2 linked regions of the Neurospora crassa OR74A genome follow. The protein of the gene in region 1 interacts with the protein of each later gene in a biochemical or structural test. Links are inferred from orthologs where the notes say so. Each region holds a gene or a part of one and is shown on either strand. Other genes may lie near its edges.

Region 1 (7,531 bases):
ACTGCCCTTTACGGGCCTTCTCTTGGGCTCGGGCTTCCCTTGCTGCTCGGACAAGGGGCGCCAGTGTTGATAGGTCGACGCACTTGTTCATGAAGTCGTGCTGTTACAAGAGTTAGCTCGGTGCCCGGCGGAAATATCACCATCTCCTTGAGCCTGGTAGCGTAACGTAGCAGGTGAAGAGCCGCAAACAGAGGGCCATTCAAAATGCAGGGGCGAACCAAGACTTACCCTTAGTAGATCATGAGCGCTGGCCCTCTTCTCCGGGTCCACCTTGAGGGCAAAGTAGAGGAAGTCGCGGAAAACTGGTGAGAGTGACTGCTCATCCTTGATGTGCGGCGTGCCGTTGGTCGCAATGAGCCAAAGCGCTCGAAGAGGCGACTCGGTCAGGTAGGGAGGCTCTCCTTCAATCATCTCGATGGCCATGATGCCCAATGACCAGATATCCACCTTGCGGCCGTACTCTTTACGTGTCACAACCTCGGGCGCCATCCAATAAGGCGTGCCGACCATTGTCGTACGCTTACTTTGAGCTTCGTTGATTGTAGCACAGAATCCAAAATCGGCTATGGTGGAAGAACAAGGGTTAGAATCGGGTCACAGCACCAGATGGGCGTTGGGGGTTGAAGATGGTGGGAAAATGAACAGGAAAATGCTCAAAAAGTTTGAACTTTCGGAGACTGCCCAAAAAGCCCGAAGGGGAAAACTTACTGAGCTTGATATTGCCTTCCATGCTAAGGAGAATGTTGTCTGACTTGATATCTCTGTGTATGACGCCCTTGGAGTGCAGATGTTGAAGGCCTCTGAGGGTTTCTCGGCAAACTGACGCGATCTGCCCTTCAGTCATGATGTTGAACGTGACAACATCCGTCAAGCTACCACCCTCCATGTATTCCATGACTACCCACAATTCCCCAGCACATAGGTAACTGTCAATAAAGTTGACAATATTGGGGTGTGAGCTCTCCTTCATAACCAAAATCTCATTGATGATGAGATCCTTCTTTGGCTGTTGCTCAAGGTTCATCTGCTTGATAGCCACCAGCCTGTTGCTTCCCCTTTCATGGCCAGTATACACACCACCAGAGGCACCCTGACCAATTTTGGTAAACCCACGATAAATCTCTCTCGGATCCCCGTCGGAGCATATCCTCTTTAGGGAAGCCACGACATCAATCGCGTTACTTTGCCGCGGTCTGTGACGGGGTCTCGCGCTAGCTTGGGGAGCCGCCCCCTGAGTCTGTGGCATACGAGGAGCCCCATTGATGTCTGGCTGCCGGGGGTGTTGGTGTTGTGAGGTGGGCGGAGTTGGTTGTTGTCTCTTGCTTGCAGCTCGGCTCAGTTGACCGCTCATTGCTGCCTGGGCTTGGGCCATGGCCTGTTCTTGCTGGTGTTGCAACAATTGCTGCTGATAAGCCGCAGTCTGGTTCGCCGTGGCGATCGGATGCAGTGGGGACGCCTGCACGGGAGAGAACGGGGCAGCGCCGTTTGTCCGGGAATTCGATCTGGACCTGTTCCTGTGCTCCTCCTGGTACATATGCTGGACATTATCCTTGGGAGGGAGGTACGGCATCGGAGCCTCATCACCGGGCGGTGGCATGCCAATTCCTGAATCCTTGGCTGGCAATGAGGCTGGCGGCACCAGCGGTCGTGTGGATATTGCTGGTGGCTTCGGTGCCGGTCTGCTGGGGATCAAGTTGATATCCTTTGCTGGAAGAGGGCCAGGGCCCTTGGGAACCGGCGGCGGCGCACGGGGGTTCTCAAAGCTGCCCTCATGACCAACTTGAGGAAACCTAGGACTAGCGGGTGGACTAATCATTGGCGACATGGGACCATGAGCGTAGCCAACGCCTGTTTGCAGTACGAGCGGAGCGGTGCCGGTCACGGGCGGGCTGCGAAAATCTGTCGCTCGTGCATCGTGGAACTTCTCTAGCTGTTGATCTTCCTGTGGCTTCTCGGTTGTCTCCTTGTAAAATGTGAGGACATCGACCAGTATTTGTGGGTGTTCTCTTCTGTCCTTCTCAGTGATTCCACTCTCGCTTATCAAACGCTGCCACTCTTTTGGCAAACCCTATCAACGTATTAGTCCATCCATAACATTCAGACTAGTTGACATGGCATGGCAACATACCGTGAACTGGCCAGTATTGCTATCATATCCGACGTGTGTGACGTGAACGGGGTTCTCTGGCGCCGAAATCAATGGCTTTTTCGGAGACCCAACTAAGCTGTTCATGAAGCCGGAGAAGCCCGACTTCTTCCTTAGCATACCGGGCACCCTGGACTCTTTACCATCACCGGAGTGTCTCTTGTTACTCGAAGAGCTGCTCTCTGACTTGGACGGCTTTTCGCTTGGCGGAAGTTGTTCAGCCGACGAGAAACTCGCCGAGTGGCGGAATGAAGATGCGCCCATGGTCTTGTTTGATATGGTGGATTTGGGCGACTTTGACGGTTTTGAAGATCTCGCAGCCTTGGAGTCCGTGTTTGAGCGCGATAGAGCAGGCGGGGGAGGAGGAGGAGGAGGAGCGACACGACGAGGAGAAATGTTGTTGGAGTGCGCAATCGTGGTCGTGGACGTGGGCGCGGGCGCGGCTGATAATTTTGTTGCCTCGATTCGACTGAGAATGGCGTTGCCGTCGAATGGAGCGCCAATCAGTTCATCCGTGGATAATTTGTTTTGATCGAAGGATCCAATGCAGGAGTCTAGTGGGTCGTACTGCTTGGATGTGTCCTTGTTCCTGGAGCTAGTAACGGTGGTGCTGGCAACAGCGCTGGGATAAGGCGGCGATTGAGTTTGGGGTTGCGACGATGAGGCCGGCGAGAGGATAAAGCGGTTGGTTGGTATTGTCTGCGTCGGATTGTAAGGGCGATTTGCGGATTGAGAGCGAGTGGTGTGGGAGCGTGGCAGAGAGAGGTCGCTGGCTTTGGTGTGGGCGGGCGCGTTTGAAGGGACGGAGACTGGGACGGATACGGTCCTGGCCAGAGATGGGCTTTGGTTGCAGTTGGGGCCCTGGCGCAGGCTGGAGGCGCTCCGTTTGCTGTCTAGAGATTGGGCGTCAATACGGAGCGATTCGACATTGAAAGAGGAGCTAGTGCGGTGATTTGCGGATGGCGGGCGTTGCTTCTTTGTGAGTCTTTTGCGACTATGCGAAGTGGAGGAGGACGAGGTGGGCGAGAGGAGGGAGAGCTGGCCGTCCATGGTCACTGCGAGAGAAACCCAACCCTAGCGTAGGGAAGGGCACGAGGGCTACGAGATGGGGTAACTAAGAATAAGAAAAGACAAGGAAGATGTTCAACGTACGGTACTGGCGGACGGTTTGGCTGGGGGCCGGGTCAACCAAAAGAAGGCGAGACTTGGGAGAAGAGACGGGAATTGGGGGGGTGGCAGCAGTTATTGAGGCGGGCGGGATAAGTTGGCAGGCCAGAATCACAGACACAGAACGGACAAGAGCAAAAAAGTCGACAATTGAAGGGGGACGGGATCCTGGAAGCTTGATGCCGGTCGAAAATTGCGCTTTGGTTTGTGGTGGGATTGTGTACAAGTTGAAGGTACAAGGTAGGAAAAAAAGACAGACCCCGGACCGCCGGCGATGCTGGGTTTGGCGGGGACTGGGTACGTTGAAGAAGGGGTGATGCTTTCTGTTGTTACTGCTGTGTGGGAACTCGGACTAGGCTGGCGCTTTTCACTTTTCCGCTTGTTTTCTCTAGACTATTTGAATGACGATTTATTTTTGATGGATCTCGAAGCTTTTTAGTATGCTTATCAGAAGGTCAGGGTCCGGCTACCTTTTGAGAGTGGTGAGCAGACGTTAGCTTGTGGACGGCACCCAATTGATGATTGAGCAGGGCAAGGTCGGGCATAGTCCAAGCAGTATGGTGCTGGTGCTACAAGTGCGCAGACTGGAGAGGGATTGGATGACTTGGATAAAGTGGGTGACTGGTTGGGCGGCGCGGGGGATTGCTTGCTTTGGGCAGGGTGTGTCCAATGGTGGTCCAACTTTGTACGAGTCGGTGTCGATGTGTGGCCGTTGACAGTTTGTGGGTTGTCGAATTTTACGAATCTCGTCAAACTCGTTATCGACTTATTGTTGGCCGGGCTCAAATGAGTGAACCCAAGATGGCGGACGGGTGTCGGCTATGCGCGGCGATGCTGCTGCTGCTCCTGCTACTGCTGGGCTGCTACTGCTGGGCTGCTACTGCTGCTGTCGTCTGAAGTTGTCTGGCTGTCGTCCGGTGTTGCTGACGGTCGGACGGCGGGCGGGGCGGGGACACTCGGCCTGCAGATGCCAAATGAGAATTGGAGACAAGGAAGCCCGGACGCAAAGTTCAGGGAAGCATACTATGATTGAGGTTGTGTCGGTCTTAGGTCTACCTATTCCCTTCGAATGCTTCGTGACTGCTGTCGGGCGGCTGTTGCTTGCTGCATCTGCACACTGCACCGCACAACAAGAGGGCAGCACATGCACTTTTCGGCTTCTAGACAGACAGCGGGAGTGTGTCCGGCCTTCTGGGAAGCAACTGAAGTCTACACTACACTACACTACCTACCTCTAGTTCTACATCTCAGTCCCGTCCCCTCTGCCAGACAGGGCAGGTGGGGACGGGTGGGGGACGGGAGAGTGGGACTACCTAGACTGCCTGGTGCAGTGCCATTGCAGTTGAAGAGAGCCACTTTCGACCACTGCTGCCACTGCTACCACTACAACACCACGAAAAGGCGCCTGTGAGAGGCTTCAAGTTCCATCAGTTCACCTGCCCACTTTTTTGTTCAACCGCCGGCGGCAACGGAACGGCGATGGCGGGGACACTCTGCACGGGAGACTGACAGGGACCAGGGCGCCACCACCTCTTCAACCTTTTCCCCTCGTTTCCTCTTGACTTTGGCATCATGTCGTCGAGGTTGCTTCCAACACCCGCTCTGGACCTTGCTTGACGCCGTCAGCTTGATTCGATTCCAATGTAGACGTCAACTCGAGGGCATTCCAGGTTCCGATCCTGATCTGGCCTGGCATCTTGGAGAACGAGTCTGCGTGCAACCTCTGCGGTGTTCTGTGGTCTCTGTTCGACAGTCAGTACAGTACCTCTATCTACATACAACACAGCCGCAATCTCTGCTTGCCCGCGTCAATCACGGCCGGGACAACCCCTCCTCCTGCGCACAGTGAGGTGGGAGGTGCTCATGCTCCTCGCGTGTTCAAGCTCGGCGCGATAGGACCGTGCTATGTATTCGCATAATTGAACTTTTTGAAAACGGGAAACCATTTCGTATCGACACATCGCCATCACGCTCATCAGCCAAGATTTAGCCCCTCGGTACGTATCAGATACGGGGCAGCTTCTCGGCAACCGTGATTAAATGCCCCGGGCTTGTGGGGTAGATATGGCCAAACGGGCGGAGTCGAAACGCCCGTCTTGGTCCTTGGATTTCCGCGTCCCATTCCCTGGCGTTTGGCGTCCACTCGTTTTTCTTGCCTCTGTGGCCCGGCCAGTGCGTCATGTCTGGGACGACTGGGGCGCACCGGCTTGAAGCGATGAGCGTTGTGAAAACCAAAGGCCGGCCGGCCTGTGGGGCCGCAGCAGGCCTTCCGCGCGCGAAATGTTGTCCTTAAGGAGTTGATCAACTTCCTTCGATATCGAGACTCAGCAGTCCTTGGACAAGCGCTCCTGGCCTGGCCCTGTAGTGTCTGCACTCTGCAGTGAGCCTTGTGTTTCGCAAGATTGTGGGACACGGTCTGTGGTATGCGGATGGGTTTGACAGCCCAGCAAACGCCGGCTCCTGCTTCGCCGTATAGCTACGTACAGTTCGTCGTGAATGCCACTCATTTGCTACCGATTGGCCGCCAGATGTGAACGGCAGGCTAGTCACTCACGCTCTCCAGATCCCTATTCCATGTAATTGGGAATAGCGCCAGGTTTCGTGATGCGATCTATCCAGGCTAGTCGTGTGAGAGGTTAAGCCAGCAACTCAAGCAAGACGGTGATGATTTTCTGGTTTGGGCAACCACATTATGAGGCCCCGTGGTCGCCTTCTTGTCAACTTGTTGCGCTCGGACGTTGGACAATGCATGCTGGATCACAAAGCCGCTCTTTGCTAACAGCTTGTCTGCTACTGCTTATGCGTTGAACTACACACCACCTCAGCTTGAGGAGATTGGAATACCGCAAGGTTGACGGCGAATCATGCCTTAAATGGTAGGTATCCGACGAAACTGTTTGAGAGAACGCTGCGGAGGACGGCAATACTACGAGAACTTGATAGAAATGGTTAGCGCCTCGCACTTTGAAAACACCAGAGCCTCCATAACAAGATCGGCTTCGTCTTACGCTTTCTAGCGGGCAAGTTGACCACGCACCCACCACTGCACCCAGCCAGCCATACAGAATTCTTTGATTGCACAACAAACGAACAAAACCTCCACGTACAAGTAAGCCAACATATAAGCACGATCCAAAGCTTGTCTGTGTGTGTCTCCTCGGTGAAACGAGGTTTCTCCTTCTCTCCTTCTCCAAAACCTTGTTGGCAGATGAAATCTGGACGCGGTGACAGGTCTCATCATGAGGTGCACAATGCCGTAGGCGCAACTCGCTATACGAGTCTTTGCCGTTTTCTGTCACCCTTCTATCGAAGAGCAAAGGGAGACGAGCATATTTTACAGCAGCCGTAGCTAAGCAAGAGAGAGACAACCCGACAGCCTACTAGTCCATGGAGCGCCAAGTTTATACAATACCTCGTTTTGCGAATCGTCACCATTCGCAACACACGTTCAGCCAGATACTCATCGACAAGGCTTGTTGTTAGATCCACTCATCTTTCAAGACAGTCATTGAGGATGTACCTGCTTCATTCACAGTAAGTAGGTAACTACCTGAGCCTGTGTCTTTAGCCTAGCACCTATCGCGCTTGTCATGCAGATACCACCTCGAGCCCGAACGGCATGTGTGCTGCAACTGTCGGTGTGGTACCTACGCAAAAGGCGTTTCTGCAGGGTGCTTGTAGGTAGGTTGATATGCCTACATACTGTACGTAGGTACCTTTTTCTGTAGGACCTATGTCGAGCTCCATGCTTGGGATACCACGATGCCATGGATGGCCCTTCTTCTGCCGAGGACTCTGGACCTCGCTCACTGGACACCTTTCGTCTCTATATACCTACACTACACGAGCCGCATCTAAGATCGGGACCATTCGCCTCCTGCGTGCGGAAACAGACCCGGCACCCTTTTTGCCGTGCCGCGCACCATGCATCTGGGCTTGTCTTCCAGAAACCTGACAGAAGCCTGCTTCGATCGATATGAACAAGGGATCGCGGACGAGAAGATTGCAGGAGGCGTGATAATCCCCGAGAACCTCATCCCTGGCTAAGTTCGTCTCCGGCCTTGACTTTTACAACGATAATCCGACATCAAAGCCGACTCAAGGGGTCGTGTTATACTTCAATCATTGCCTAAACATGCTATTTCCTCGGGCCTGCCGAGACGGTCTTTATCTTCTCGTTCTCTCAGGCCCCCGCCCCTACCGAAGAATGCCCGCCCG
Region 2 (7,542 bases), on another chromosome or scaffold:
AGGTGGAGAGATCTTTTCTGGAGGTTGTTGATGTTTGGGGATGGAGAAAGAAGGAGTTTGCGGGTGGTGATGGGAGTTGCTTTCAAGGACAGAGATGATGTCTTGGCTGTGTAGGATAGGAGACGTTTGGTGGCTATGATGGGTAGGAGGAGGACTCGGGGAAGTGATGAAGGGAGGTGGTGATGTAAGGATTGACGAGTGGTCAAGGTGAGCATATTGTGTTGGTTGTTGGGCAAATCGTGCTGTGTGTTCCCGAGAATGTGACTGAGAATTGAGTGAACGCTCGAATAGGGCAGATAGATGATTGGGGAAAAAGGCGAGGGAGTGTTGCTGCCGTGAAACGAAAAACTATGAGGTTGTCGTCGTGAACAGTGGAACCAAATCGAGCAATCCGCAACAGAGGCAAGTGGCAAGTATGCACTAACAATTTGTGCTACAATGCAACCCCTAAAACACACCCACACACGAACAAGTACTTCTAGGACCACCCACCCACCCACCAACCAACTAGCGAATATCTCAACCAATGCTTTTCGCTCGTGCTAGCAAAAAAGAAACAATTTCTTTCCCGGGTATGAATCGATGGATGTGGATGCCTCTCTATATACAGTAGTAATAGTACTCCCAAAAGTGAACCCAGGTGATGATGATGACAATGATGACTGAAACAAACAAGCAATTATTTTCCCCTTGACGACAACAACATTTACCTCCTCCTCTTACCACCACCACCCTGGTCGCCGCTAGGACCACGCTTCTTACCCTCCCTTTCCCAATACGCCTTCTTCTCCCTCTTCTCCTTGCTCTTGATCCGCTCCTCGGCCTCTTCCAGGCTCTTCTTGTACTTCTCGTGCTGCTCCGCCTTCTTGGCCTTGCGCTTCTCCACCACTTCCTTGCGGATCGTTGTGAGTTTCTGCATGAGATCGCGCGCCTTCTTCTCCTCGCCGCGGACGACGACCGCACGCTTCTGCATGTACGTCTCCTTTTTCTGCTTCTTGGTCTGGATGATCTGCGACTTGAAGGGCAGCTCGGCCGCGAGGGCACGCGGCACACGGAGAGGGTTGAACCGACGGGTCTCGCGCTCGATCTTGCGGTACTGCGAGTTCTTGTCGAGCGGCGTGGCGATGTTCTGGTCGCGGCGGACCTCACCCGTGAGACGCATGCTCTGCCAGCCGACCAAGTTGGTGGCCGGGTTGTAGAAACGGTGCGGCTTGATGGGGTACCACGCGCGCAAGAAGACGATGTCGCTGAGCAGGATCTTGTCCTCAAAGGTGGCACGGAAGTGGCCGTCGGGCTTGGCGAGTGCGCGCTTGATCTGACCGCGGATACCCGAGACGGTCTTGATGGAGGCACCCTCGAACTTGGCGATTTCCAGCGCCGAATTGAACATGTCCTTGATGAAGGCCGTGTTCTTGAAGATCTTGTATGGTGTACCGGTCTGGACGAGTTGTTAGCATCAAAAACACCATACACAATAGGGCGGAGGGTAACATACCAGCTTGAGCTTCTTGACGATCTCGGTAGACTCGTCTACGCTCAATACTGTACCGGTAGCCGCAATACGGAACCCGGGGTTGGCGGAAGAGAAGGACTGGAAACATGTGAAACCCGTATTGGGGGCACACAGGGGGCCGTAGAAGGTACCGAAGCAGTGCATGTGCTCCGGAGTATACTTCAGCATCCTGTTTCTCGTCCGAGAATCAGAGATGGAGTAGATGGGAAGAGACTGGAATCGGCGCCAGCCGAGGGAGAAGATGAGGGGATCTCCCGTCTTGAGAATCTTCTTGTGCCAACGGTGCTTCTTGATTCTAACTTGCACAAAGCCGAATCTGTCCTCCGTGGCCGAAAGACCTCCGACAACGATCGGCATCCGTGGCTTAAAGTTCTTGACGAACTCTGCTGGGACACCCTCGATGACCATCCTGGCGTACTTGCCGGCCTTGTAGCCTTCGACAGCGATCCTTTGGCTTTCATCAAGGTTCTCGTATTCCGCCTTGTTGATGTCGAGCTGCTTCTGGATCATGGCCTTTTGAGCATCATACCAGTCGTCCTCTCCAAACTCGTCATCATTGCCACCTTCTCGCCTGGCAATCGCCTTGTCGTTCTTGAAACCTTCACGATCTTCCTCTTCGAAGCGAAGCTTGAGCTCCTCCTTTCGGCGGGCGTTCTTCTCACGCTCGGCTTCAAGGCTTTCTGCTGGCTGCTCCTCTCCTTCCTCCTCTTCTTCTTCTTCATCCTCGTCGTCAGCGCCGTGCTTCTCCCCTGTCTCGAGATCCTCAAAGGCACCGTCACCTTCATCATCGTCGTCCTCGTCATCAAGACCCTCGAAATCCGAACCATCTTCGCCCTCGCCCTCAGCGTCGTCAAGTAGGTTGGCGGTGGCGAACTTGTTTCGGAGAGCCTCGACAGCGTCCTTGTCAGACCACTTGGCTTCTAGTTGTTCGTAGTCGAACTTGGGAATCATGCGATCCTCCCAAGAGTCCTCCTTGTCCTCCTTGCCAGTCCTCCGGAAGAAGGTTTCGTCGTCCTCTTCGATATTCTCTTCGATCTCCTCCTCGTCGTCTTGACCGGCCCATTTCTTGATGGCTTCTGTGGGGGCCATCGACTCGTCGTACATGTACCTCGCCAAGTCGACAGCGCGGAAGGGTTTCCTCCTTCCGTGTATCTGACTTGCGCGCTCCATTATGTTGTCCTTCCACTTGAGCTCAGGATCCTCCTCGTCGTCCTCGTCATCGTCAAAGTCGGATCCTTGGTCTTCATCGCCGGATATCGAACCAAGGTCGGAGTCACTGTCGGCAAAGGCGATGTCCTCTTCTTGGTCGTCGTCGGTCTGTTTCCTGAACATCTTGCCCAGCTTCATCTCGTTGAACTCGGACTCGACATCGGATCCATCCTCCATCTCATCTTCCTCTCCGCTTTCGAAGCCTTCGTCCTCTGGCGGTTCACCACTCTCACCATCGGCAAGTCTGGCGGTTCTTCGGCTCTTGCGGCCAGTGTTTCCGACATCCTCGTCCTCGACAGGGAGCTGGTTGATCTTTTGTCCGCTCGCGAACAGCTTGACACCCTCGTCCGTTTGACCAAGGAGACGCCTCTCGTTCTGCAGGTCGATGATGAGCTGTTCTCCTTCGCCGCGCTCAATGCCCACAGCATCCTTGTCAAATGTGAAGCCGTTCTCCCTAGTGATAACGATGTGATCGCCAGTAATTTTCAAGCCGCTGCGGTCCGCCATGGGCGCCCAGAGCTTTTTGTCCTTCTCGTCGAGTCGCCTTCTGCCAGTCTTGCCACTGGCCTTGGCCAGCGCTTGTTCCATAGCGGGAGTCGGGCAAGGATCCGGCAATTGTTCCATCTCTTTGATTGTAAAGTCGCCCAAACCAGCAATATGTACCCTTTGGCCCTCGGCGGAAAAGTTTGTACCACGGAGGTAACCGGAGAGTTCAATCGTTCGGTCGCATTTCTCGTCTTCTTCAATCTGGGTGGGGTGGGTGACATCGCGGTAGTTGTCGATGATGGTGTAAGGGTGGGAGTTGCGCCAAACGAGCGGGCGGGGGTTCTTCATGACGGACAAGAAGCGGGAGAGGTTGTGGATTTCGCGATCGGGGTAACGGCCGTTCAGGACACCGGAAAGGTAGAAAAGGTGGGCACCCTGGTAGAGTTCGCTCCAAAGTCTGTGCTTTAACCTCTTCTTTGCCTCCTTTAGTGCTTGGGGCTTCCTGAACAGGTCGAGATGGGTGAGGATGCCAAAGACGTTGCCGGGCATACCCGTGGCGGCAAGAACGTTAAGGAACTCCATAGTCTCCATTTCGAAGCCGAAGTTTCCATCGATCATGAGAAGGACAATGTCGGCGACCTTTGCAATATCGACCATGGCCTCGAGTTCGTTGGCGCATTCGATGAAGGTCAATCTCTGCTTCTTGGAGGTGACGACCGTGATAGGTCCCACCGGATCTTGGATGGTTTCCTTTGCATATCGTCGGATGAAAGACTTGAGAAGGGTGGTCTTTCCTACGCCAGGGGGGCCTACGATGGCGACGAGTCTTGGGGGTGGTTCATCGGGGAGACGGTCGACGGCGGGGACATGAAGACGCTTCTCTTTGATCTGCGGAACAAGACCAGTTAATTATAAGAAGTCATTGAAGGATGGAGCGAGGGAATGTCTTCTTACATCGTGGGATCTGGCGGCTTGTCTGGCGAGTTTACCAGGATTGGAGAAGGCAAAGGCCTTGGGGTTCTTTTCTGCAGGGACGGTCAGCTGTGGATAGTAACGATAAAAGAAACAATTGAATACACATACCACCTGTATGCTTGGAGGCCCCCTTCTCCTTGGACTTCTTGGAAGCCCGATGGGGTTTGTGGGCTTGGACGTCGGCCATGATTACGGCTGGTGTCCGTGAACTTTTTGCAAGTTCAGTAGTATAGATGGACACGCGGTCGCGAAAACAGGTGCAAGTGGAAATGCGACGGGACTCGCTCCCAATTCAACTGCTGCCAAAAAGCTGCTGTCCAAATTTTTTGGATAGTCGGTTTTCTGATGGAACGCCAAGACGTTTATCGATAAGCGATAAGATACCTGAATAGTGGGACCTCTTTCCGCGGCAGGCGACGGGACCTATCCCCGGCAGCACCCGCTACTAAGCAGTGGCAGCATGCGGGGAGTTGGAGACCCTGACAGGCAGTCCCGACCTTCAAGTCTTGGAACCTTGAACAACAGACGAACCCAACGTATAGTCCCGTTTCTTATCTTCAACCAACTACTGGGTGAGCTGTGTCTTCGGAGTAACTATTTCCAAAGGTTTATACGAAGATATTCCGTTGGGTGGTTGAGATATCTTGTGCTGTCTTGAGCATGACCAACCTAACTACCTCTATTGTACCAAGCCCTCCCTCACTGGTGGAGACTACATACCACGCTATGTAAATGCATTGGATTGTTCAGGGACCTCCCAACAAACGGTTGAAGAAGAGTCGAGACCATGAAAGAGCTATCATAGTTGATAACTTGCGGCCTCGACATAGGAACGTCGAATGGGCCCGCAAAGTCAAACAGCCATGGGCCATGGCAGCCCTTCTTGCATAACACACCATTTTGAGGGTTACATACGTAATTGTCGCGGGAAGGAGGGTTTCCGATTTACACACATGAGGAGGGTATGGCGTATAGGCTAGGCTCAGAGTTACAACAGATAGGTAACAACATCCAAGATCCTGAGTAGCAAGATGGTCGGAAGATGACTGGATCCATCCTCCCACACCACTCCTAGTGTCTCAGCCCGCGCCTAAGCGCTCGTTAGGTGGTTGTGTGCAAGGCTGTCTTGTTGGGCGCTGAGATGAAGGATTGTCTCTGTCATCCCCACGCCTGGCAGCCAAAAGAGTGTCACAAGTCACAAAACGACCTGCGGTAGGCGCAGCAAGTCTGGTCCAAGTGGATATGACGTATCATCCGCTCCAGAGAATGCTAATGTCCCTGGTGCCGCGTCACTTGTGGCTCCTGACGGCGTGGCAGGAAGACCAATCTAGCATGATTGCCGCTTATCTGGCACATGTGCATCTGTGGTGTAGGTAGTTCGAGTCCACTTGTGCATGTCCCTTGATCACGTATAAGATGCTCCTTCGTCCGCTCCTCGAGACGCAGTACCGACTTTCCAAGTTCACGACCAACCACTACACTCTGTTTCAACATTTCCATACAGCAACACCAACTTTTTCACCAAACAACCCTCCCACCACCGCAAAGATGCCTTCTTACATTGTAAGCATGCCGCACTCGCGCCTCACACTACCCATAAGACTCTTATTGACCTCAGCTGTTCACTATGTCAGGTTACCCTCAAGGACACCGCTACCGATGAGGAGATCGCCAAGACCAAGGAGGACGTCAAGGCGCAGGGCGGCAAGATTGGCCACGAGTACACCCTCATCAAGGCCTTCCAGTATGACAGCCTCCGTCTTCAGAATTAGACACAAGAGCTGACCCTCTCTTTTTAACTGCAGGGCCATCTATCCCGAGGGCGCTGTTTTCACCCTTGAGAACCACGAGCACGTCAAGGGCGTCGAGGCCGACCAGGAGGTCAGGACCCAGTAAAAGAGCGCATCCGATTTCAACAGCATGTTTGAAGCATTAGGCGTCAAGGACAACGACATTGGGAATGATATGACATTAGCCCGGGAAGGACAGGTATAGGATGAGACTACAGTCGCCTGCTCAGAGAGAGAAGCATGATCTGGTGATGGATCTCATGCGGGGCACCAATCGCGGGGTAACAGCGAGACGGAGGTTACCTAGTCTCAGCTACATAGTGTTGACAGCGACAGGGGGCCCGGGGCTTACCTGCCGGTTTCGCTGTCGTTCCAGTGACACTCTCCACTGGAATAGATAAAGGCGGCCATTTGATGATTGTTATGAATTCAAAGAAAGATTTCCAATTTGCACATGTTGACTTGAATCGTGTCACTGACTGTGCCTAGGGATGTGTTCAACCAGGAAGTCCAGACTTGCAATGGGGATGCGTCATGCTGGATGGAGGAGAGAGCAACCGACCCGACAGCACCGAGGAGACAGAACGGGAAGCACAGCCAAAGCACAAGCACCTAAGTGGAAGTGGAAGCCCTCCTCAGCCCAGCCCAGTCCTCAAGGTGCTCCAACCTACTCCAAGCGGCCTGTGGGCAGCCCCTTATCGCCTAGCATATCGATTGGACCACGATAACCCTGTTTCAGCGTGGACTGCTACCTATGTCATCCCATCGCGGCGCTGATCGCCGTCCCGCGCGCACACACACACACACACACACACACACACACCACCGAATGACAACGAACTGAAGCAACACGGCACTCTCCACCGGACCCTACCTACGTACTTGTTGCACCAAAATTGGAAGTACGTTGTAGTCCCAAATTCAGTCTCGTAACAGAAACCCGCGACCGCACAACATGCCGACATGAAATCCATCGCGAGGCCGTCGAGGTTTCCCAGCCCTCTCAAGGCCGCCTTGAGCTCCTCAAACTACCCGAGACTGTATTCCATCCTGAACCAGAATATCGCGAGACCCCATTACGACCGCCCGCTCAGCAGTCGCCATGAGCTAGAGGACAAAGTCCCATGGCTGGCTAACCAGCCTCTACATCAGCTGAGTCTGGCCGATCTTGTCAAGTAAACAACCAATTCCACTTTATCCAAGGCGTTGATCTAACAATGGCTTCATTCTCCCAGACACGGCCGCCCCCCTCTCTCCGCCGAAGCCCTCCTCTCCTCGGCGCGCTTCACCCTCTCCCTGCTCCCCATCCGCCTCGCCCACCGCATCCAAGCCCTGCGCAACCTGCCCTACATCGTCGTCTCTAACCCCAACATCTCGCGCATCTACAACAACTACCAGCACTCGCTCTCGACTTTGCTCCCCTGGCAAGGCAAGACCATCAGCTCGCTCGACGACGAGATCAAATTCACCCAGGTCCTCGCCGAGCTCGTCCAAACCCACACCGACACCATCCCCATCCTGGCCAAGGGCTTCATCGAATGCCGCAAGTACATCTCCCCTAGCGAAGTG

Evidence for each region.
Region 2: of the proteins of stk-4 (region 1) and NCU04348, one has a biochemical effect on the other in vitro, tested with the Saccharomyces cerevisiae proteins (2 studies listed by BioGRID). The link is inferred for Neurospora crassa OR74A from reciprocal best matches to the Saccharomyces cerevisiae genes STE20 and BMS1.

Annotation. Positions count from the first base shown.
Region 1 is NC_026506.1:2,077,624-2,085,154, forward strand, and holds the start of stk-4 (serine/threonine-protein kinase ste-20, variant 1), read right to left. Parts: upstream 3,988-7,531; 5' UTR 3,964-3,987; intron 3,857-3,963; exon of another isoform or gene 3,780-3,856; 5' UTR 3,197-3,779; coding exon 2,129-3,196; intron 2,069-2,128; coding exon 709-2,068; intron 564-708; coding exon 229-563; intron 101-228; coding exon 1-100. Other genes in the region: NCU03895 (hypothetical protein), read left to right, coding at 4,115-4,201, 4,552-4,591, 4,961-5,232. UniProt on the Saccharomyces cerevisiae protein: MAP4K component of the MAPK pathway required for the mating pheromone response, haploid invasive growth and diploid pseudohyphal development. Links the pheromone response G-protein beta gamma subunits to downstream signaling components.
Region 2 is NC_026504.1:3,690,901-3,698,442, reverse strand, and holds NCU04348 (ribosome biogenesis protein), read right to left. Parts: upstream 4,471-7,542; 5' UTR 4,371-4,470; coding exon 4,292-4,370; intron 4,234-4,291; coding exon 4,163-4,233; intron 4,097-4,162; coding exon 1,496-4,096; intron 1,439-1,495; coding exon 707-1,438; 3' UTR 518-706; downstream 1-517. Other genes in the region: NCU04347 (pyruvate formate lyase activating enzyme), read right to left, coding at 1-215; NCU16822 (hypothetical protein), read left to right, coding at 5,600-5,746, 5,818-5,927, 5,989-6,079; stk-58 (mitochondrial pyruvate dehydrogenase kinase), read left to right, coding at 6,937-7,148, 7,209-7,542. UniProt on the Saccharomyces cerevisiae protein: GTPase required for synthesis of 40S ribosomal subunits and for processing the 35S pre-rRNA at sites A0, A1, and A2.